4 linked regions of the Schizosaccharomyces pombe genome follow. Changing the gene in region 3 together with the main gene of any one other region gives a genetic interaction. Each region holds a gene or a part of one and is shown on either strand. Other genes may lie near its edges.

Evidence for each region.
Region 1: mutations in ppk14 (region 3) and nup61 together harm fitness more than expected from each alone (negative genetic interaction), as found in Schizosaccharomyces pombe (one large-scale study listed by BioGRID).
Region 2: mutations in ppk14 (region 3) and pex8 together harm fitness more than expected from each alone (negative genetic interaction), as found in Schizosaccharomyces pombe (one large-scale study listed by BioGRID).
Region 4: mutations in ppk14 (region 3) and tif310 together harm fitness more than expected from each alone (negative genetic interaction), as found in Schizosaccharomyces pombe (one large-scale study listed by BioGRID).

The regions. Positions count from the first base shown.
Region 1 is NC_003421.2:729,339-736,300, forward strand, and holds nup61 (nucleoporin Nup61), read right to left. Parts: upstream 3,904-6,962; 5' UTR 3,884-3,903; coding exon 3,765-3,883; exon of another isoform or gene 3,713-3,764; coding exon 3,414-3,712; exon of another isoform or gene 3,366-3,413; coding exon 2,134-3,365; 3' UTR 1,533-2,133; downstream 1-1,532. Other genes in the region: dom34 (translation release factor eRF1 family protein), read left to right, coding at 42-340, 397-503, 552-1,184; ism1 (isoleucine--tRNA (Ile) ligase), read right to left, coding at 4,083-6,962. UniProt on the Schizosaccharomyces pombe protein: Functions as a component of the nuclear pore complex (NPC).
Region 2 is NC_003424.3:3,908,838-3,915,211, forward strand, and holds pex8 (protein Pex8), read right to left. Parts: upstream 3,787-6,374; 5' UTR 3,768-3,786; coding exon 3,706-3,767; intron 3,664-3,705; coding exon 3,180-3,663; intron 3,128-3,179; coding exon 2,991-3,127; intron 2,948-2,990; coding exon 1,903-2,947; 3' UTR 1,698-1,902; downstream 1-1,697. Other genes in the region: proteasome core particle subunit alpha 5 Pup2, read right to left, coding at 552-731, 795-897, 1,036-1,477, 1,516-1,534; SPOM_SPAC323.04 (ATPase), read left to right, coding at 3,936-4,079, 4,260-4,644, 4,707-5,218, 5,265-5,687; eRF1 methyltransferase Mtq2, read right to left, coding at 5,768-5,953, 6,001-6,287, 6,329-6,374.
Region 3 is NC_003424.3:768,700-773,166, reverse strand, and holds ppk14 (serine/threonine protein kinase Ppk14), read right to left. Parts: upstream 2,628-4,467; 5' UTR 2,545-2,627; coding exon 844-2,544; 3' UTR 501-843; downstream 1-500. Other genes in the region: tRNA 4-demethylwyosine alpha-amino-alpha-carboxypropyltransferase Trm12, read left to right, coding at 1-494; SPOM_SPAC4G8.04 (GTPase-activating protein), read right to left, coding at 3,077-3,355, 3,419-4,467.
Region 4 is NC_003424.3:1,440,192-1,445,962, forward strand, and holds tif310 (translation initiation factor eIF3j (p35)), read right to left. Parts: upstream 2,991-5,771; 5' UTR 2,938-2,990; coding exon 2,925-2,937; intron 2,882-2,924; coding exon 2,070-2,881; 3' UTR 1,779-2,069; downstream 1-1,778. Other genes in the region: zf-CCCH type zinc finger protein, Prp19 complex subunit, RNA-binding Cwf2, read right to left, coding at 1-85, 135-352; F1-ATPase chaperone Atp11, read left to right, coding at 918-1,778; calmodulin Cam1, read left to right, coding at 4,739-4,741, 4,868-5,317.

The sequences.
Region 1 (6,962 bases), on a different chromosome or scaffold from region 3:
TTCAATGTTCGATAATAACACCTGTTTTTTCTGTTGTTTAGTCGTGTAGTGAAAGTTGGCGCTACAGGAAGTACGTCAGGTTCAAGAGTTGTGATGAAACTACGTATTTTAGTTGAGAATATGGACTTTGATACAAAGGCTGCTCAATTGCACATCAAAGGACGGACAACTGAATACCATCCTGAAGTTAAGATGGGATCCTACCATACCTTGGACTTAGAACTACATCGCAATTTTACTCTATATAAAAATGAATGGGATGCATTTGCATTGGACCGTGTAGATGCTGCTTGTAATCCTTCAAGAAATGCTGAAATAGGTGCTGTGGTTTTAGATGAAGGTAAATTTCTTGGCTTACATCGCTTTATTAGTTCGTGCATGTTTACTGACTTGCAGGTCTTGCCAATATTTGTCTCATTACAGATTATATGACCATCCTGCGTCAAAGGATTGATCAAGTGATTCCAAGGAAACGGAGAGGGGACAGCAGCGCTTACCAAAAGGTAAATTTTTAGACTTTGATTTTTCGTCCGTACTGATCAATTTTTTAGGGCCTTGATAAATTTTATGACTCTGTTTTTCAATCCATTAACTCAGAATTTGATTTTGATAAATTGAAAGTCGTTATTCTTGCTTCACCAGGATTTGTGGCTCGAGGCTTGTATGACTACATATTCAGCATGGCCGTGAAGTTAGACTTGAAACAAATTGTTAAATCAAAGAATAAATTTGTCATCCTTCATTCTAGCACTGGTCATATTCATTCCCTTAATGAAATTTTGAAGGACCCTGCTGTTGAATCAAAACTAGCCGACACAAAATACGTACAAGAAATTCGCGTTCTGAATAAATTTTACGATGTCATGAATGAAGATGATAGAAAGGCATGGTATGGTCCAAATCATGTTTTGAAGGCTTTTGAACTTGGCGCGATCGGAGAACTTCTGATTAGCGATTCTCTGTTCAGGAGTTCTGACATTGCTACTAGAAAAAAATGGGTTTCATTAGTAGAAGGTGTTAAGGAGATTAACTGTCCTGTTTATATTTTCAGTAGTTTGCATGAGTCAGGGAAGCAGCTGGATCTGTTGTCAGGTATTGCCGCCATTCTCACTTACCCAGTCGATGAAGAGGATATATCAGAAGATGAAGAGGATGAGGAATCCCAAAATTTTGAACATAGTTAAAGTTCATCAGTATCCGAATTGTCATGAATCTAATTATTGCTAAGCCAATATTTCATACTTTAAGCTCGGTTAGAACAATTTGTTTCATTCTCTTAAAAAATTTATTTATGGGCTCGTTTTGGTAGTCATTATTTATGCTTTTACTTGGATGTTTTAGGGTATTTACTATGATAAACATGCAAAAAATTAGGTGTTAGAATGGTCAAAAATTGATACCCTAAAATGATTTATACTTATCGATTATAACTCTTAACTTGTAAAATTAAGCTGTTAATTATAGCCGGTCCAATACAGTATTCAATTACAGTAAAAAAATCAACTTTAAGCGATAAATTCGCTACAAACGTATTTGTTGAAGTTACTTTTTTCAAAAAACTAACAATTCGAAATTGATAGTGGCTCATTTACTTGCTTATTTTATTAAAAGTTCGCGCCAAGATACTTATTCAATAAGGGGGTTTGACCCTTCTAAAAGCTAGGCAGGTGTTTGAAAATCCGGAACCAATATATAGACAAAAGTAATTTAATAACGAAACCGATTATTGAATCAATCAATTCAAGATATATCACTGGCGATATACAACAGTTTTAAAATTCACTCAAAAATTTATCAATCATTCATAAGATGAAAATTAGGATAATTAAATCAGTTCCGTAAAACTTTGATGTTCTGCGTAAATTTAAAAAGAAAAGATATGACTAGCTTAACCAATTTAATATTCCATAAAGGCAATGTACTTGGAGAGCATGTATGCTTCCGGGAATTTCATATTTGTATGCACATTTCGTAAAAGACTGATTGTGTATATCCCTATCCACAAATGAAAATCGAATGACAGTATTAAATTGATAATCTTGACAATATATTTCCGAAAAATTTATTAGATTTATGTACATTTAATAGACCAAAAATAAAGGAATAAATAGTGACTGAATCAATCACTGCTTTCTAGTTCTCTGACTTTGAGACCTTTTTCTCATTCAATTCGGCTAATAACTTTTCCGCAGTACTAGGCTCTTTCACACGAATCAAATACATTTCAATTGATTTTCCATCAGTAGAAGCAGCAGGTACTTTTACGTCCTTTTTACCAGCCAGGCTGTATTCAAAATCCTGGCACAAACGAACGTTTAACAAAAGTTTTCCACTTCCCTCGACACGCGCAAGGATGCGAGCAGAGCCAGTGTCACGATCTACGTTAATTTTTAATGGACCAATCCCGATATCAGAATAAGATTTACTAGTAGCATCGAAACGGTATATCTTGGCCCTTGTCTCAAATACGCTGTCTTCATTTTCTTCGCCTTTTCCTTTACCAGAAACTAGAGAATCATTCGATCGAGTTTCATCATTTCCGTTTTCCTTTTCTTCTTGCTCTGATTTGTTTCCATTAGAAGTTTCTTCACTTTTTTCAGCGCCAACAGAAGCTGGAGTAGAAGAAGTAGGAAAAGAAGATTTCGGAGCAGCAAAAGAGAACGGATTAGTAGTAGTTCCAAATGAAAAGCCGACAGCCGCAGCGCTAGGAGGCTTCACATCCGAAGAGGCCGGTAACTTTTTGCTCGATAATGGATTGGTAAATGTAAATTTTTTCTCAGGTGTGTCAAATTTGATAGGCTTATCAGGAGTCCAAGAAAAACTCATAGTATTTCCCTTGGCAGGTTCAACGGCGTTCTCGGATTTTTCATTGTTCGAGGGTTTAGATTCTTCGCTCTTTGAATCTTTAGTTTCATGGGTTTGTTTGGTCTCTTTTGAAGCATCCGCAGAAGCCATAGTCGTTGAGAAAGAAAACACGGGAGTTAATGGTTTTGATTCCTCATTTTCCTTCTTAGCGAAAGCGAAAGGATTAGCGGCAGTATTGAATGAAAACTGGTTGGTTGTGGTAGCGGCAGTACCAGTGGCAGTTTGATTAGAAGATGTTTCTTTCTCCTTCGCTTCCGCTTCTGTTGCGGACTTCTCACCAAATGACCCTTTAGGAGTAAAAGCCGATGAATTAAACTGGAAAGAGCTACCAAGCGCTGGAGCAGAAAATCCGAACCTAGGAGCACCGGGGGGAACAAGGGGCTTCTCCTTATCCTCTTTTTCTGAAGAAGCTGGTTTTTCTGTAACAAAAGAAGAAGAATCTTGGCTTTTTTGTTGCTGAGGATTTACCTCAGACACAACAGCATTTGAAGTTGGTTGTTCTAAGAAAACGTTAGAAAGAAATGAAGTACTAACTATAAACGCATTACCTTCTGCTGGCTTTTTTTCTATACTTGAAAAATGCTGCCTGTATTCATCAAACAGAGGGCTCAAATTACCAAAGGGATTATTGTCAACACTTTTGATAACAGCGTCAATAAATGATTTATTAAGACCGCGTTTTTTCAAGTGAATATCTGAATCATTATTAGCTGTAACCGCGGGTTTTCCAAATGTAAATTGCGTAGTCGATGCAGGTAAAGACACCGGTTTTGCTGCCAAATTTGCAAAAATTCCCGGAGAAGAAACACCGCTCGTTGGTCTTTTTCTAGATTTTGGCTTTGCAATTCTAATACATTAGTACCTAAAAAATTGAAGAACTATGTTTCATCGTTACATACTTTCTTGTGGCCATCACGTCTGCGGAGGCCTCCTTAGGAACTTCAACTGGACCATGACGGTCATCATCAGAATCATCTTGATCCTTAGTTAACTGATGATCAGCACCGCGTTTTGACATTTTGCTAGTTTGCGAAGGTCAACTGTTAGCCCCAAAACCACCCAAACTTATGGCCTTCACTATGTCTCCTTATTTACTAATGTTACAGTAAAATAAAATAATACAAAAAATGAATTGTCGCTTGATTTTAATTAAGTATTACAAAAATAAATGACTATGGTACAAAAATTATCATAATAAAGAGCGTTCAGCTTTTTTCTTAGCGTTTCAGTTGGGCCAAAACAGATTCGCATCTGTCACATAATCCGTCCTCATGAGCTGTATGCATCCAGCAACGTAGACATTTTTGTTGATTTGAAAAAAATAAAGAGATATTTGCAACCCCATAATCCAACTGAACTTCAGGTTGTGTAACGGAAGCTAATTTCAGATTTTCGGGAATTTCGTTAATAAATACCTTCGATGTATTGAACAGAAAAGGAAGGTCGGAAGAGTAATTTTTTAAAAAACTCAATAAAGATTGAGATTTTGACTTAATAACGACATAAGCTTCTAATGAGTTTTTAATAGTTAGATTTTCACGAGCTGCGGTAATCAACAAATTAATACTATACTTAAGTTGTTGAAGAACCAAGTATTCCTTAATTAAAAATTTTCTATCAAGTAAATCAACTTTTGACCTTAAGCTGCTTATAAGATGTGTTTCTCCAGCGTGAAAAGGAGTTTGGTAAGAAGAATTCAAATAACTATCGGGTAAGCTTTGCCAAATCTCCTGTGCCAAAAGTGGAGTAATGGGAGAAATGGCCCAAATGAGCGTAAGTAATGAATGATAAAGGACAGTTTGAACACTTCTCCTAGATACACTGTTGGGTAAATCAGCGTACAGACGATCCTTTACGGCGTCAAAGTATGTAGAGGATAAGAAAGAGTTCATAAAATAATTGAGATGATGAACAACTTTGTTAATTGAATATGATTCATAAAGTTCTCGAATTTCAGTCTGAAATTTATCTAGTTGGACTAAAGCCAACTTATCAATACCACGTAATTCACCAACATCAACTGAGCTCGAGGTATTCCAGTCATGTAAGTTCCCAAGACAAAATCGGGATGTTAATCTCCACTTTTTTAAGGATTCACCAACTTGCGTCAAAATGTTCGGTCCCAGGTTAGTATCATTCGTACTGTCACATGATGCAACCCAAAGTCTCAGTAAATCAACACCATATGGAAGCTTTTTTCCTTTTAAAAGCTTTCCGTTTATTACATCTTCAGGGTCGGTTACATTGCCCAAAGACTTGGATTGTTTCTGACCTCTTTCATCAAAGATAAATCCGTGCGTAAACAAAGTAGAAAACGGTGCTTCTGGTTTTGATTGGTAGGCAGTGTATGTGAGAAGAAGTGACTGAAACCATCCCCTGTGTTGATCGCTTCCTTCCAAGCAAAGGTCAATGAGCGGTTTATTCTTACGAGGTGCTATTGTAGTCCAACTAGTCCCAGAATCAAACCATACATCAAGTGTTTCAGTGCCACGAATATACTCCTTATTTCTGTAATCCGGATGAACCCACTGAGCATGCCCATTGTTTTCAGTATCATTAAACCAAGAATCAACTCCCTCTACTTCCATTTTCTCAATGATATAGGATACACTTTTCACAGTTAGTAGGGGGATTTTAGTTCCTTTCTCATACAATACAGGAATGGGTAAACCCCATGCCCGTTGGCGAGAAATGCACCATTCAGGACGGCCATTCAAAAAACCAAGAAGTCTGGCGCGCGAATTTGGAGGAATCATTTTTACACTATCAAGTGCTTTTATGGCAGTTTTCCTTTCATTCTCCAATGATATAAACCATTGAGGGGTCGCCCGTAAAATTAATGGCTTATGTGTTCGCCAATCGTAAGGGTAGCGGTGCTTATAAGGAGAGACCTTAACAATCATATTTTGATTTTTCATAATACTTATTACTTTCTTTCCTCCATCACCAAGAACTTCCAATCCTTCAAGGCTTCCATCCAAAGCTTCTTTAGTGTATCGACCATAATCATCGAGTGGTGAAAAAGGACGCAAATTGTTTTCCAGTCCTAGAAGATAATCTTCCATTCCATGGCCAGGAGCGACATGTACTATACCAGTACCGATATCATTAGTAACGTAGTTAGATTGTAAAAATGGAAAGCTTTGCTTCGGTAATAGAGGGTTCTCATATGTAAATGATGAAATAATATCTGAAGGGCAACTCGCAAGACGCTTAGCTCCCTGCATAAAATCCAAGTTTGGAACTAAATTATCAGACATTAAATAAATCGAATTATTGTGCTGGTATAGACCATAGTTGATTTCAGGGTGGTAAGATAATGCAAGGTTTGAAGGAATGGTCCAGGGAGTTGTTGTCCAAACTAATGCCTTTACATTATTGTATTCACATCCATCGATAGAAAAACTGTTCACCGGAAACGTAAAGTAGATAGACGTGCTGACGTGATTATCATCATATTCTATTTCTGATTCAGCTAAAGCGGACCTGCTTGAAGAGCTCCAATAAACAGGTTTATTTTGACGAAATATAAGATCCTTTTGTAACAAACTTAAGAAAACCTTAAGCTCTGCTATTTCAAATTTGTCACTCATGGTGATGTACCTAGAAGGCCAATCTCCCATTACAGCCATACGTTGGAACATCATGAGTTGTTCTTGAACGGCCGAATTTGCGAAATCTTTAGCAATCTTTCGAATTTCAAGAGAACTTTTACGCTCGGCGTTTGCTTTAATAGCTTTTGACTCGATTGGTAAACCATGACAATCCCAACCAGGAACATAATGCACAGAACGGCCTTTCAGCAATTGCCAACGATTGATGATATCCTTCAAAATCTTATTTAGAGCATGACCTATATGCAGTCGACCGTTTGCAAACGGAGGCCCATCTAATAGCACGAAAGAATCTTCTTTATTCAAATTCTCCTTCTGCCATTCATACAGGTCTGATGTGATGGATTTGAAATACTTTTCATTATTTCCTTTAACGTTTGGCTTAATAGGAAACGAAGTCTTTGGCAAGCATAGTGATTCTGAATATTTCTTCAAATCCGCCTGACTGCTGAGAAACCTACCTGCTTGTTTACAACAAATGTG
Region 2 (6,374 bases), 3.1 Mb from region 3:
TTTATAGAAGTAAAGTGGGATCCGGACCTTCAAATTCAAAGGCAAAGATATATAATGAAGCAACACGTAAAAAACGCTAGTTAGTCAGAAATCCTATACAAATGGTAAAATTACTGTAATAAAAAATTTTGCCTGTAAATCTTTTAAACGATCAGAATTTTGATTTTATTTACTGTATATATTTTTTTTTATTGGAAATTGGATATTTTATGACTTCCCACGATACAAACCATATGAACCGATAAATCGATAAAATTTGACTTAAACCTGGAGACTAGTACAAATAAAAGCTGTTTATTAGCAAAAGGTTCATTTAAAGAAAAGATACGTTACATATACTGATATTACATATATGGTTAATCACAATTAAAATACAATAAACAATCAACCGAACAAACACAAAAACGGTTAAAAGATGAAAGGAATACATTTCTAATCATAGATACTAGGAAAAGGATAAAGGTGATGGCGAAACAAGTCTGTAGAGTTATGTAACATTCGACTAATCATGCTTTATTTGGTAATATTGGCGGAATTTAAATCATCATAGGTTAATCCATTCTTTGCTGTTCACGTGCTACAGCATCGGCCATTTCCTCGTCATTATAGATGTGAAATCCACCCTCAGCGGTAACTTTGGCAAGTTGAACATTTTTGGAATCAAGCTTTTCTTCCATTACTTGTCGAAGTACTTTGAGAATCAATACTTCAGCTTCCTCGAGAGTCATATCCTGAACGACATTGTTAGTTTAACAAAAAAGGAAAAAGATAAAGCAAATAAAGTTAATACGTACTTTGTGAAATTCCTTCACTAGTTCGCTTTTCGCGGGTTCACTACCTGAACCAATAGCTTTAGCTTCATAACGGAAATATGTACCTGAAGGCTCAGAGTGGTATCTGTATAGGAAGTTAGCATCTTAACGAATTACAACAAAAGGAATCCAAACAATGGCAGGTGTACGAAGATAATCAAAAAACAAAAGCATTAACACAATAGCCACATCGTTCCATAAAAATAAAATAATTTTGACTTACAGTTGAGGACCATGCTCATCTATTCCAGCAATTAACAAAGCAACACCAAACGGTCTTGACATGATGCGTTCTTCGCCATCTTCTCCTTCACCAAAGCGAAGTGCGAGATCACAAATTGACTGGGTAGTACTTTCTATACCTTGTGGTTCATCATAGGTAAAACGATGATTTTGTGTTTGAACTCTAGCATGTTCAATAATTGTACGGGCATCAGCTGTTAGGCCTGAAATTGCGCAACCAATGTGTGAATCAATTTCAAACAGCTTTTCAACAGAATGAGATTCCATAAGTGGACTAGTTAATCTCTTTTCAACACCAAGGACGACGGCATCCTTAGTTTTCACACCAATAGCAGTGGATCCTAATTTGATGGCTTCGATTGCATATTCCACTTGAAACAACCGGCCTTCAGGAGAAAAGGTATTTACTCCTCTATCATATTCTAAAGATTAGCTTAAGAAACTTGTACAGTTTACTTACCTGATCTAGTCATAAACATTTTTAAAAGAGAACGTGTAAAGTAGTAGTTGCTGACTGACCAAAACCCAGCCAAATGATAATATCGTTAATATTCCCTATAATACGTTGCCTAATATATCGTAAACCAGATTATTCGTTACACTCCGTTATTAGTGAATATAAAAATTAAATAAAAATATGTACAGAGGAGAAAGGTAAACAAATGTTTATAATAGGTATATTGAAAATAATAATTCGAATTTGAAGATAAAAAAAAAACGAAACTGACTAATATACACGTTTCATGTTACAATAATTGATATTGTAGTGTAACCAAAAACAATCCAATAGCTCAATAGCTTTGGAAAAGAACGGAAAATATTATCCTTCATCTAAATTATAGAGTTTTTAAACTGCACGACCTACGACAATAGATAGCCAAAAGGATAGCAAGGAAGTAGCGTTTTGATAGGGCATTTGACGAATTTGGGAAGATACAAGGAAAATTAAGTCTTCTTTGGTTTCAGTTGAAAATCCTTGAATTGAATTCAAATAATTGGATAAGAATTGCTTTTGAGCAGCAGGAGCAAGAACACTTACTAAACTGATTGAAGCTTTATAAAAAATAAGGGCGTTGTCAAATTCATATCGTATAATTGGCTGAAACCATTTCAATAAAACATCTGTGAAATAATAAGCTATTTCGATGTTATAGTATAACCTTACTCTCGAGCAAAGGATGCTCTTCAGAGAGTCGAGATTCAACGTTTTGGTAAGCAAGAAGAGACACCTAGCATGAACATAAATGTCATTGTCTAGATAGTCTTTTGGAGAGCCCTCATTTAGATTACAAAAAAGACACGCATACAGCGACGCGTAAACATAATGTTTGCATAATGTAGATTCGTCAGATTGAGATATAAGTTTTTCAGCGAAACTAAGACCTAATGATGATATTTCTTTAGCAGTGGAGCTTAACGTTATAACTTTCTCGTTGACTGTTTGCTTTTCTAAACGTCGACATATGAGATTTTGCCAATTATTGATAAAACTCAAAGTTACCAAAACTGGAGAGCCTGATAGCTTTTGTAAGTCTACATATCCCTCGAGTTGAATTGAATCTATAATGGCTTCCCGCACAGTTTCCGAGATAAACTTGGCTGGTTGAGCAACACGACTCAAGCATGTTGTTATTACAAAATCCAATGTAGACCATGATGATGCAACAAAAGAGAATAGATACTCCATATGAAACAAAGTCAAAATAATATACTCACATAAAGATCGGTCTGCAGCCAATACATTGCTTTTACGGTACTGAGATTTTGCCAATGATTCTAAAACCATAATTATTGAGAAAAAATTTTTTTTAACAAACTGATGGTCATTATATTTAGAATCAGAGGAACGACTTTTCCAAGAGGGAATCGCCTTGTCAATTAGAGTTATTAACCTGCATCATTTAGTCTTCCAGAACAGTGAAGTCAAACACTAACCTTTTAATAATGCTGATTTGCTGATAAGTTGATAAGCGTAATAACAGATGGCACAAAACAGCTGTAGGCAAGGAATCCCGCTTGTGTTCAGTATCCAAATAATTGATGAAACCGCTCCAAACAATTTCTTCCCATTTCTGAGACAATTAGTATAAAGTTTTTTGGAGTTCTATATTTACTGCTACTTACCAATAAATGAGGGAGTAACGAAAATGCATCAAAAGAAATATCGCTCGCTGATGAATCGACAGATGCAAAAAGTTGTTGCAGTAAAAAATTGGCTTCAAATCCTGAAAATTGATGCGTTTTTATCTGTTTTGATAAAGCTTTGCTAACTGCTCTTTTCAAGGGGTATTGTAAGTTGACGATATGATCGCAACTCAATAGTTTGTAAAAAACGCAAAGGAGACAAATTCTTCGAAAGCAAAGAATTTCATTGCTTGCATCTACCTCAAGAATGCCTACAATGCTTTTCACGAAGGATGAAAATGGCAAACCGTTATTCGTTACCTTTTTCCTGCTTATCAATTCAACCCAAAATGCAAAGTATTCAGAACGATGCTCATTCCAATAGTCCCATATTCTACCGCAAGCAATCAATTGTGCTACCACCAGTCGAAGGTTCTGTTCATTATGTAAATTGAGTAAGACATAGTGTGTCTCCCATAGGACACTTGGATTGTTAACAAAATGGATTAAAAACCACCGGACTTACGTTTCTAAAGATATCGAGTCCTCTCGTAACAGAAGAAGCACGTTGTTAATGGCTTCTTCCATAATTAAAACGCAGTGTTCTGGAAGCCTTATTATCTTTCGTACGATCACTACCACAGAATCAAACTGCAACTTATAAATTGACTTATACGGAGTTTTCTCATTTCATTAATTACTTTAACAATCACCATATAAGCTGCTGAGCATATAGCGGCGGCCATATCTTGCAGCATGGCGTCTTTTGTCAAATTTGCCAATACGACATTCTTAGATGCGCGATTTCCCCTTTTCAAGAATGTGTCTTTTGAACTAGCTCGAAAGCAAAATTGGGCCATTATTGGAAACACTGGAAGTGGTAGGACTACATTCTTGCGCGTATGTTTTGTAATTTATGCGAAGTGTTTGGAGTAAAAATGCGCTAAAGCTTTAGCAATTCATCAAATTTACTAAATCAGCTTTGTACAATTCATTTTTGTCCCTTAGTCGGAAACCAAACACTTTTTATTATCATTAATTACATGGTAGTAACTTTACTAAATTGCTAACTCAATACAGTGTATACAAGGTTCCTTTACACCCTCACCCTCCACTAGTTTTTCATATCCATTCTTGAAAGGCAAATCTGATAGCCCATGGCAAGCAATCCAATTGCTTGATTTTAAAAGTTCTGGACAGCAGCGTGCCGCATACTACTCTGAAAGATATCATTCCTTTAGAGACAAAGAACATGACACTACATTGGAGAAGTGGCTTTTGGGCGCTTATCGAGGGAATGAGAAGTTTGCTTCTCAACATGTACAAGAGGCCGCATCTATGACTCAGTTATCTCATTTACTTCCTTCGAGTTTAATAAATTTGAGCAATGGACAATCTAGAAGAGCGATGCTTGCATCGAAACTTGTGCAAAGGCCGCAGCTTCTTTTACTTGATGAACCTTACGGTACGCTGGCCACTAAGGGGTGCAATTTATGTTAATACAATTACTAACAGTATTTTTTTTAGCTGGACTTGATGTTACTTCAAGATCTGTTTTGTCTTCACTTTTAGGTGAAATGTCAAACCATTGTTCGCCAAAGATTGTACTTTCCTTACGTCCTCAGGACAAAATTCCCGACTTTATCACACATGTATTGGAATTGAAAAATAAAAAAATCACATATCAAGGGCCCAAGGAACAGTATATTCCTATGACCAGTCACTCAACTAACATACCTGTCAAGCCCCAGATGAAAAAAAGCAAGCCTATTACAATAGGCAAGCCTTTAATTTCCATGGAACATCTCAACTGTGTTTACTGGGGACGAAAAGTACTCTCTGACATAAATTGGACTATTAGAGAAGGAGAAAGATGGGCTTTAACAGGTAGCAATGGAAGCGGTAAAACTACACTTTTAGCATATGTAGTTGGAGACCACCCCAAGTTATTTGCTAGCAATATTAAATTTTTTGGAAAAAGCATTGGGCCCGGCACTGGAATTTCTATATTCGATATCCAAGAAAACATAGGGCATTGTGTAAGTCTATAAAAGTAAATAGTCTTTAAAACTAACGACTTTTTAGTCTCCAGAGATACACAATCATTTCCCGAAGCAACATACATGCTTTGAAGCTCTTCTTAGCGCCTGGAGCACCACCTTTACCATCCCAAAGTTAACCGAAACTCGGTTGGCAGCAATTAGTAGCATCTTAGAGGAATTTGAACTAAAGGATATTAAAGATAAACCATTAAGCAGTATCTCGGTTGGCATGCAGAGATTTATTTTGTTTTGTCGTGCTATTGTCAAACAACCTCGCTTAGTTGTTTTGGACGAGCCTTTCCAGGGAGTAGATACCAAATATGTCCATATGGCGCATAATTACTTAAATGAAAAGCTCTCTCCTTCCCAAGCCATGGTTATAATTTCTCATTACGAAGATGAACTCCCTGCCTGCGTAAATAGAAGGGCTCACATTGATAATGGAAAACTTGTCATACATGCTTGATGATGAACATCCCTATTGAATGTGTATAATTCTTCGACTCCTTTCTAGGATTGTTTTTTGATTGACCCCAAAAATTTGAATTATTCATCCCAAATTGTATTACCAATCCGATAAATTCTTAGAATACTTAGTGTTTCACGCCCAGCTTTTCTTTTTAAAGTCTCATTAACAATAAACCCATCCTTTTGCAATATTTCACAAATAGAGTGTAACTTATTGCGAGCAACTGCAACCATGTAAAATACTCCGTCTTGTGAAAGTATATCCTATCCATAAATGAGTTATTAATGTAAATATAAAGGTCTGACCTTACCTTTAATTGGTTTAACAAAGTGCTAGTGACATCCATACCATCGGTACCACCAGCCCAAGCCGAAGCAATAGTAGCAGCTTCACTTGGTATTTCTTCGAACTCGGTAGGAACATATGGAGGGTTGAATATTAAAATATCAACTCCATTCCCGAGTCTAATTCCGTCAAGGAATGAAGTTTGTACGGTAATGAACAACCCATTATCGTCCTTATACAACTCACGATTATTCAGAGCAGTTATCTTACTAGCACGACACGCAGAATTTGAGATGTCGGACATAAAATGAACTAGACATCAGCATATTATATTTTGTGGTTTGCAACCGTACCAATTGGCTTGTTTTTCAAAATCCCACTTTTTAAAAATGAGGATGC
Region 3 (4,467 bases):
GTATAGGGTACTTTACATTTTCTTACGTTAAAGCGGGAGCTTCAACAGTTTTTTGCTGGGAAATTAATCCATGGAGTGTTGAAGCGTTAAGGAGAGCTGCTTTGAAAAATGGCTGGTCTATTTATGTAGTTCGAAATGGAGAAAACTATGAATTTAAAGTAGGAACTCATCGTATTGTAGTTTTTTTGGAAAGCAACGTTTATGCAGCTGAAAGGTTCTCCAAAATGAATATTTCTGCTCGACATATAAATTTGGGAATGCTCCCCTCTAGTGAAAAATCCTGGTCAACCGCTACTTCAATTTTAAAGCGAGAATCACATTCCTTTATACATGTTCATGAGAACGTAAAAGATGAAGATATCGAAACATACTCTTCTGAAGTGAATTCATGTTTTTCAAAAATGTTGGCTAAAAATACAGTTTGTGTTACAAATTGTGTCAAATCATTTTCACCACGAGTGTCACATATCGTTTACGATATAGAGACGGTTTAGTTAATGGTAATTTTGTTAAGGTGGTTTTTGGTTATTTTACAAAATATGTTATTAGAATGGTATATGTTATATTCTGTCTAGAAGTTTATTTAACTTCCTATTGAAAATAGAGAAAGCATGTCTGAATCTGGTAAAAGTAAGGTAGAAAAAAGAAAGACTTTGTGGTGAAAAGGAGAATCTAGTTAAGCGAAATATTTTGTGCCTCAACAACGTATCAATATATGCAATGAATGAAGTCAGCAAATGCTCTTTTAATAATGGATTGATTAAACAAAAAGATGAGAAAAATATCATAGACGTGCGAAAAATTACCATCAATATGCAAGTTACAGGAAGAAAAGAAAATGACCTAATCCCACTCATGATGCACAGTAACTGAATTAAACGATTCGAAGGGATCATCTCCATGATCTGCACCCGATAAATTAGATAGGGGAACTTCAACTGTTTGTGTGTTTTGGGGAGAATGAGTAATATCCAAACTTTTACTTTCCTTTAGATGGGAAATATTAGGATTGCCTTTTTCATCAATAGGGGCAAGCTTTGGAATAATCGGAGGCTCAGTGTGCCTTAATAGAGCCCATTGGACATTTTTAAAAAAAGGATGAAGCTTCACGTCTGCAGCACCAGCCTGTGACCCAAGGCGATCATTTTCATCTTTCACTAATAATTTTCTAATCAAATTCTTGCAAAGGCTGGAAATTGAAGGAGCATCCGCATATTCAGGGAATATAACATCCTTGTGTAAAATATTCGAAAAAGTCATGTTTCTATTTTTACCTTTGAAAGGAGTCGTGGCATATAGCATTTCATAAAATAAAATACCCAAAGTCCACCAGTCAACAGCGCTTGTATGACCACAACCCTTGATAACTTCTGGAGCAATATACTCTTCTGTGCCGACAAATGAATTTGTGCGAAAATCTGCGATACATGATTTTGTATCCAATGCGTAAGCATTTTGAGCGGATGGTGCATTCCTGGCCTGAATTACCGTTGGTGCACCGGCAGAGTTTGATTGTTTAGATAAATCAAAATCAGAAAGCATAATATGTCCTGACTCATGCAACAAAATATTTTCAGGCTTCAAATCTCTATAAATAAATCCCATCAAGTGGAGGTATTCTAATGCAGCGGTAACTTCTGCAATGTAAAATTTGGCCTCGTTTTCTGATAAACAACGGCCAGGACGTCGTTGCAAAGCTCGAAAAAACTCACCTCCCATACAATACTCCATACATAAATAAAGGTATTCATCAGATTGAAAAGAATGATAAAGTGTAACAATGAATGGGTGGTTACTTGTCGCAAGAATGTGCTGTTCTGCAAAAGCTCGTTTGCTTTTGTTGCGTTTAATCATTTCTTGCTTACTCAAAACTTTCATGGCATAAAATTTGCCAGACTTTTTTTCTCTAACAAGATAAACTCGACCGACATCTCCCTTGCCAAGTAGAAAAACCTTTTCAAAGCTAGATGGACCAACCTCAACATCACATATCTTGATAGAGTTGGAAGAATATGTTCTCGCTCTCGTTGCAACAGTTTTCTTAATATGAGCCAATTCTTTTTCCTTCCCATGAGGACTGAAAATATCTTTTAACTTTTCTCGCTGAACTGAGGTATCAGCACCATTACTACGAGAAACATTTCGCGACTTGGGAACATCTTTCTTCTTCCTCCCACTTTTAAAAAACGATTTTTTTATTACGGAAATTGAATCAGTACCACTCCCGTCACCACCTTCTGCGGAACTACCAGTGCCATCAATTTTGCGATCAGACTCTTCCTCGGTCTGCGACTCAGGTGCACCAGAAGGTGATTGATTTGCAGCATCGCTATCTTCCGACGTCAATTCTTTTTCCTTCTTTCGAGAAAAAGCAAACTTTCTGCTATCCTTAAAATGCAGCCTTATGAAGGCTCGAAACTTGGATGGCTTGGCAGTGCCGGAATGTTTCCAGTGTCCTGTGTCATCTTTCTTAGCTTCTTCTAGGTGATCTTCAACATTGATCCTTCCTTCCTCAGAGCTCTCACCATCATGAAGTTCATTCATTTGCTTTTGAAAGTGCTACGAGTCGGTCGCAATACAATTCAATTCCACTGATATTTTTGTGTATGGCGGAAAGTACACCGGATGACATTACTGAGACACTGACACTTATGATATACTAGAAATATAACCGACTGCGTTATCGATCGTTGTACCTCACAAACCGTAAGAGCAATGTTTATATAGCATACAGGAAAATATATGAAGAGCAAGAATCTGTCTATGTTTATTAAACCAAACAAATCAAAAACTATAAGTGAAAGTTATGCATGGATTGCCTAGCTTCATACAAGAGTTTTCAAAAAAGATTTTACATTCTATACTTCCAAATTATAATGAAATGGACTCCTGAAACAGCATTAAAATAACCCAGTCATAGTATACAGTGATGGAAAACATTAAAAAATTATATTCATGAGTAACCCAACATAAAAATGAATAAGATGCCCATGAGGCAACAAAAAGCTTTTTTATTTATTAAAGATCATAACTTACCAACGATCACGAATCAAACCAGTAAAACAAAACAAAGAACTCAATAATTGACCGCTAAGTTTAACGAAGAAATAGCCAAGTTACGTTTCCGTTCAATACTCTTTTCCGTAACAAGTTTGGACCACCGATCAGCAGCCTCTTTAATAAACGAATCGGGTTGAAAAGAGTATTGAACCAAATCACTCAAAAATGAGTAGATGGCAGAAGAGGAATTGCATGCTAAAATTTGTTGCTTTAAAGATTTTAGAATCGTAAGTGCAACTCTAAATAAGCATACATAACCATCACAAAACAACATGTCAAATATTCTAAAAGATATCTAAAAAAAAGTAGTTAGTAAACAATTCATACTTTAATAATCTTTCAAAACCACTTATCGTACATTCGTAGGGAGTGTATCAGTATATACACTTAAAAACCAATGAAATGAAATGGCGTCCAAATCAACCCCAAGTAATTCTAAATGGGAATAGATTTCCGGTAATGACTCTTTCACAAAGCTTTTCAAAACCAGCTGATCAGCTCGCGAAGTCATCAGGTCAGGAGTAAAGTATTTCGGAGGTAAAACGTTTTCAATTATGCTCATTAGCATATAAAACGCGTCTTCTTCTGAAGCATATAATAAAAGAAGAAAGGCACCAATAACATTCATTCCTTGACAATAGCCTATGTGTGGATTGTGGCGGCTATAAGCAACTAAAATTCGTCGTAATTTCGGGATTCCAGGTCCTTTTCCTCCAAAAAATACATTTTTAGCCATAGTCCTGTTAATATCCATATCGATTTGCGCAACACTCGCTGATTCAACCTCATCAGTACGTGATAATAGTTCTTCATAATAGCCAGGTGAATGTAATTGATAAGCGCCTGAGCACTCTAACCAAACTTTAGCTTTATAGCACAAAGGAACACCATTTTTCACAAGTTCACGAAATTTATGCCATCTTTTTTTACCATGACGCCCTTTAACACCTATGCTAGATATTCCTAGTAAACCAATTGTATCCTCATCGGTAATTTTATATTTTTTGTACAAGCGTTGAAAAAACAAGCTCCAGTTTTTTTGTCGGGTACTTTCTTTCATATCCAATAAAATATCTTTTTTATTTAGCAACAATGGAGAATCGTTGAGCCCATCTAACTCGTTGCCAAAAAAATCATCAACCAAGCCATAATTGCTTTCATAGAACGACAGAGTCTGTTTCTGATTTAATTTTATGTCCTCCGGACATAAAGGGGTGTCGTGACTTGGTCGTTTTTGTAAAAAACCAAATTGATCGAGAATTTCCTTGGAATTATTATCTAAATAATCTTTCCAATCATTTCGCATTGAGGGCGGCTGGGTTTCCTTAGGAATCATATTTCCCAACTCCACAGAACCAATTGAAGGCATCGAAGGTGCTGTTGATGAAAGAGAAAGAGGCTTGTTAT
Region 4 (5,771 bases), 670 kb from region 3:
CCTGGATATTACACATCTCGTTTCTGACTTTACTTGGCTTTTTAACGGATCCTGTCGCATGCCTCCACTCCACTTGTTGTACCACCTAAAAAGTCAGCAATTCCCAATCCAAAAGCAATTAAATATAAACTTACAGGTTGTAAACTTGTCCAGGTTGTTCGGGCTCCATTTCATACTCTGGTCGAGTTTCAATTTGCTTGCGCGCAGGTTGCTTTTTGCGCTTGACAATCTTCACTTTTCGAGGGGTTTCTTCGTACTCTTTGGATTTTTCCCCCTCTACCAAAATCTTTTCTGTAACATCGTTATTTTTTTCCTCAACAGTGACTTCTTGTTCTAACCCATTTTCTGACATTGTTTTTGAAAAGTTAAGTCTAAAAGGGAAACGATGAAGTATTTGCAGGTTTATGTCGTACAGTGCGTTAATGTTCTTAGTGAACTATATATGAATTTCGTTACTTCTCGTTACTCTTTTTCATTGTAATCTTGCGAATTTAAATACTTTGATTTAGATAAACAAGAGCATTTTAGTAAATTCTTGCCTAAAGATCCTACTTTTTTTTTTCTTCTATTTAAGTACTAAAGGAATTTTCTTATTTGTATATGCCTGTTTTTTCTGGATAGGAGGTCACTTTAGATATTAAACGCAGGCATGAACAATTTTGTAGTTATCTCTTTAGATACTTTTTAAAATATTTTTTTAAAGCAAAATATTAAGAAAAATAAATAGTTGAAATGAACGGAGTTTGAAATCTAAGATGTAAAGTTAAATAACTAGAACATTTTATACTCATAGAGTGGTATTATTTACCACTAGCAATATACACGGATACACATTAGTTATCGCGATTCCACAGATCTCTTTTTCTTTTTAATTTTCATTTTTGTCAATTCTCTTTTTTTAATTCATTTCATCTAGTATGCTTCCCATATGGAAACTTCCAGTCAATCATTTACTTTGCCATTCTTTTAAATCTATTCCAAGAACTTCTGCTTATGCGGTTCGTTTTGCGCATCACACATCAAATAACGATGATTTGGAAGTTAAGAAAAATACTGTTTATGAACGATATGAAAGAAAACTAAAATCTAAGGCTGAAGAACTTCACATGCCCGTTACAAACCTTCTAAAAAAGGGGCAAACGAAAGAAAGAGAACATGTTATTCCCAAAAAATCTTTTTCCGCAAAAAAATCATTAGTTGGGCAAAATGCTAAGAAATCAGACTTAAGTGGGCTCAATCGTTACATAGATGTTGAAAAAATCAAGGAACTTCCTACTTCGACTATAGAAAAATTATGGAGGGCAAGAAATATTGGGGATGACATTTTAAGCGCTTGCATTCCCAAAGAAATTTACGAAAAAATGTTAAGTAGAGCAAGAATGTACCCATATTTCGTGCTCCCGTTACCGAGAGGTGATAAAGGGATTGAAAGTCACTTTCTTCAGTGGAATTTTCCAAATAAAAATGAAGCTCATCTCCTTGTGACATCCTTACTGGAGTATAAATTGAAGGGATCTTATGCTGCTCCTCATACTATAATGCTTCATTTTGCAGACTTACTAAATCTTAAGGGAATAACACTCATGCGGTGCCAATTCGAACCAAAGAAATTATCGGCAAACGATGTGCAGCTTCTGGTTTTGGCAATTCAAAAATTTTACAATGCTTCCGAAAATACACCACTTGGCAAAGAACGACTCGCACTACTTGCCGCATTTAGTAAAGGTGCGGATTTTGATCTTCACAAAGTGGCTACGCATATGGATATGTTGGAATGAAAACTGTAAAACATCTTATTTCTGAATTAGCCCGCATGTTCAACGTTATCTATGATTAAATTTAAGAAATTTGTTATGCGATGGACATTTATATTCCATTATAAGCTATCGTATATTAATAGAAGAAAGAATCAAGAATGTAACAAGTGCAGAACAAATTACTTTCCCAACCATCGGTATCGTTGGTATCGTAAAGAAGCCAGACAGTCTTAAACATCCCCAACGCATAATCCGTTTACAGAGAAATAAAAAACAATGTATACCAAAAGACCCAGTATAAAACAAATCGGCTTACATGAAGTCATCAAAGTCATCCGCATAGTCATCATACTCATCCTCAATGTAATCTTCGTAAGCGGACTTGTCAGCAACGGTTTTTTTAGAATTAACATTGACCGTAGGTTTTCCTCCTTTCTTAGAAGGAGCTGCAGTTGATACTGGTTTGGCAGCAGGAGCAGCGGCACCTCTCTTAGATTGAGTTTTTTCTTGCTGCTCTTTGTTGACTACAAGTTTATTCACTGATTTCTGAACTGCCTTCAAATTGGTAGCATTAAGGCCGGTAAGCAATAAAGGGATTAAATCTTGCACAAAATTATTATACTCGGCAGTGGTTTGACAATTTTTAACCTTCTTCAAAATATCAGCTTGGAAAGCTGCATAGTCGGCTTTTGTTTTGAGTTGTCGTTGATCAGCTTGCTTGGAGCGGTTTGCACTTGCTGAGTTTTTATCAACGATGTCAAACAAGTCCATGGCATTTGCCAAGTCAGAGTCAATTTCGGCTTGTCGCATAGCTTCTTTGGAACTTTCTAGTGATTCTTCCTTCGCAGCTGCTTCACTTGCTTTAATGGCTTTTTCGAAATTTCTTTCCTGAATTTTTTGTTGGATACGAGTCATTTTGTTAGAGCCTTGATCATTTTGGCTAGATGAAGAGGATTTTTGGGATACTGAATGAGAATCATTTTGCAAGGATTCTTTGTTTTCTTCTTCATCTTCATCCTCTTCGTCGTCAAATCTCTTTTTTGGCTTGGAAGAGGATTGACTATCCTTCCCTAAGGGGAAATCAAACTCTGCAGGCTTTGCAGGATCTTCTACTAAAAAGTCCTCTTCATTTCAGTTAATAAACATGTAGAATCATATATAGCTTACCCCAGCTATCCATTTGGAATTCACTTGATGGTTTTTACAGTCTACTAAAAAGGTATGTGGTTCAATAAGGAATTTATTGTAGTTGCACAACAAAATTACGAGATGAATTGAGTAGGAAAATATTCAAACACACGTACTGATAGAGTTCAACAATAAATACTTTAAATTCTCGATCATTCTTATTATTTTATTTTTTATATGTTTATTTTTATTTTTATTTTTTTATTTTTTTTCTATGAAGGATATGAGTACCTCGAATTATTAAAAGTTAAACTTCCCATTTCACAGCATTTTATTAAATCAATTGAGATTTATAAATTTGAATCTTTTAAGGAATTATACTCAAATTTTCATGGTCATTCTGTAGAGATGTCTTTAAACAGGAAGTGCAAAAATTTAAAATTATGAGAATAAACTATAAAATCTTTAAAAACAAAAGACGTCTAAATTTATGATTATTAAAGACAAAAAAATGCTCAATTTGAATTTATTTTTTTATTTTTTTTTGTGTTACATCAATAACAACAAATATTGTTTATTCGATTAAAATATCCGTTCAGACTAAAATCAATAAATTCGGCTACGGTCATTGTATCAGATGTTGAGGTTCTGGATTTTTATACATTGAATAAATCATTTAGAAAAGAATTAATATCGAAATATATACAGGCAATGAAATCCTGCTTGAATAATATATTGTTATTTACTTTTTCAGTTTTCCTTCTTCATTTGAGTGTTCAACTAGAAAAATTATCAGATCAAAATTGGCATATACAAAAAATACAAAAGCAGATTATGCTACACAACAAAAATGCAATTCATAATAAACGTGCAAAAAAACCTTTTAATGAACTGCACTTATCAAAAATGCTTTTGTTTAGCAAATTTTTCAAAGCTATGTCATTTTGCTCAATTATTTGGAGACTTTAAACCGTGACAGTGTTTGTAAATCTGCTCAATAATTAATTTTCCATAAATCAAAATGAAAACAATATTTTCATATCATGAATAATAATATCACTAACTCAACCTCATAGAGGAAAGTGAAAAACACGATTTTCTGTTTACATTCAGCAAAAAATTGCGCTGTAATAACCATTTCCAAATACTGCATTTACAAATATTTTTTGTTAAATCCTTTTGCGATTTAAACATCGAGTACGATATATAAGTTGAATGTCGACAACGTTCCGTTGCGCTATAGCATACTACGTTGTGTATCACTAATTATCACATGTTTGATTTGCTCTGTCAAGCTGTACATGATAAGTTACTTAGGTAGATTACTAAGAGTTATAAAATGAATAACAAAAAAAATAATAGAATGCTTAAATTTTATGAATTGAAATAAACAAAACCTCGTTTCTCTATTCACTTTTATGCTAATTCGGTGATAGGTAACAATATAACCTCTATATCAGAATATCATTCTAAGTTACTAAATGTATTTACCTGTGTACCATAATACAATAGGTCACAAGTAAACCACACGGCAGTTCTAGGTGTCGTTAAATAGATACCAATAAATGCGTAGCTGACATTGAAAAAGTTCCTTCATCCGCCGTTTAGTGGTTTTAGTGCGGTTTATAGCAAGTACGTTACTGGTTTGTTAGAGCATATACGATAATGTAATAAACTCTCATTGTTTGTTGACATCACTGTTGATGGTAGGACTTGCAACATTAGGAAGCGACAACGGTAGTCCTCATTTCTCCAAGGCACTTTAACGTAACTAGAGCAAAACACTAACCGCCAAAAATAAAGGTTAAAAAAAGGAATAGAAGGACTTTAGAGTTACTGATTTTTACCAGAAAATGGTATGTTTATTATATTGTTTGGACATATTCCGATTTTTCCTTTGAAGATTGACTAACAATCGTATGAACGGATGACACTCAGAAAATGATTTCTGAAGTCGTCTACCGTATCGTACATTATTACAGACTACCCGTAACCTTACAGATGAGCAGATTGCAGAATTCCGTGAAGCCTTTTCACTGTTTGATCGTGATCAGGATGGAAATATCACGTCCAATGAATTGGGTGTAGTTATGAGATCGTTAGGTCAATCGCCTACTGCCGCCGAATTACAAGATATGATTAATGAGGTCGATGCCGATGGTAATGGCACAATTGATTTTACCGAATTTTTGACTATGATGGCCCGAAAAATGAAGGATACCGACAACGAAGAGGAAGTTCGCGAAGCCTTTAAAGTCTTCGATAAAGATGGAAATGGATACATTACAGTCGAGGAGTTGACTCATGTGCTTACAAGTCTTGGTGAACGTTTGTCTCAAGAAGAAGTAGCCGATATGATACGTGAAGCCGACACCGATGGCGATGGTGTAATCAACTACGAAGAATTCTCTCGTGTCATTTCTTCCAAGTAGAAGGGTTGGAATTTCTGTGGAATATTTGTAAGCCTTAAAAAAATCAAAATATCCTTGCTGGGGTTTCCACCCTTTTAGTTCTTCTTTATAACCACTCTCCATCGCAATTTGGACAATCTCTTTACCAACTTAACCTCGGCTATTGTCCTTTACTTTTTTTTTCGTCTATGATTTTGAAAAACATTAGTTAGTGTATTACAACGTTTTGGTTGTTTATTTTGCTGGCCTAGGTGTGTCACAAAAGTAACTATGGTAGCATTTGTTGTTACCATTCATCTCATGATCGATCCTATGAATTTTAACGCTTCCTTTGTTTCAACACATAAAGGAATCCTTAAGTCTGGGAACATATACGTTATTGCTATGAGAATACCACGCACTTTTGCATTATTGCATCCTACAATGAATTATTAGAAGCTTCATCTGTCTGTTATATGATGCATTTGCTCGTACT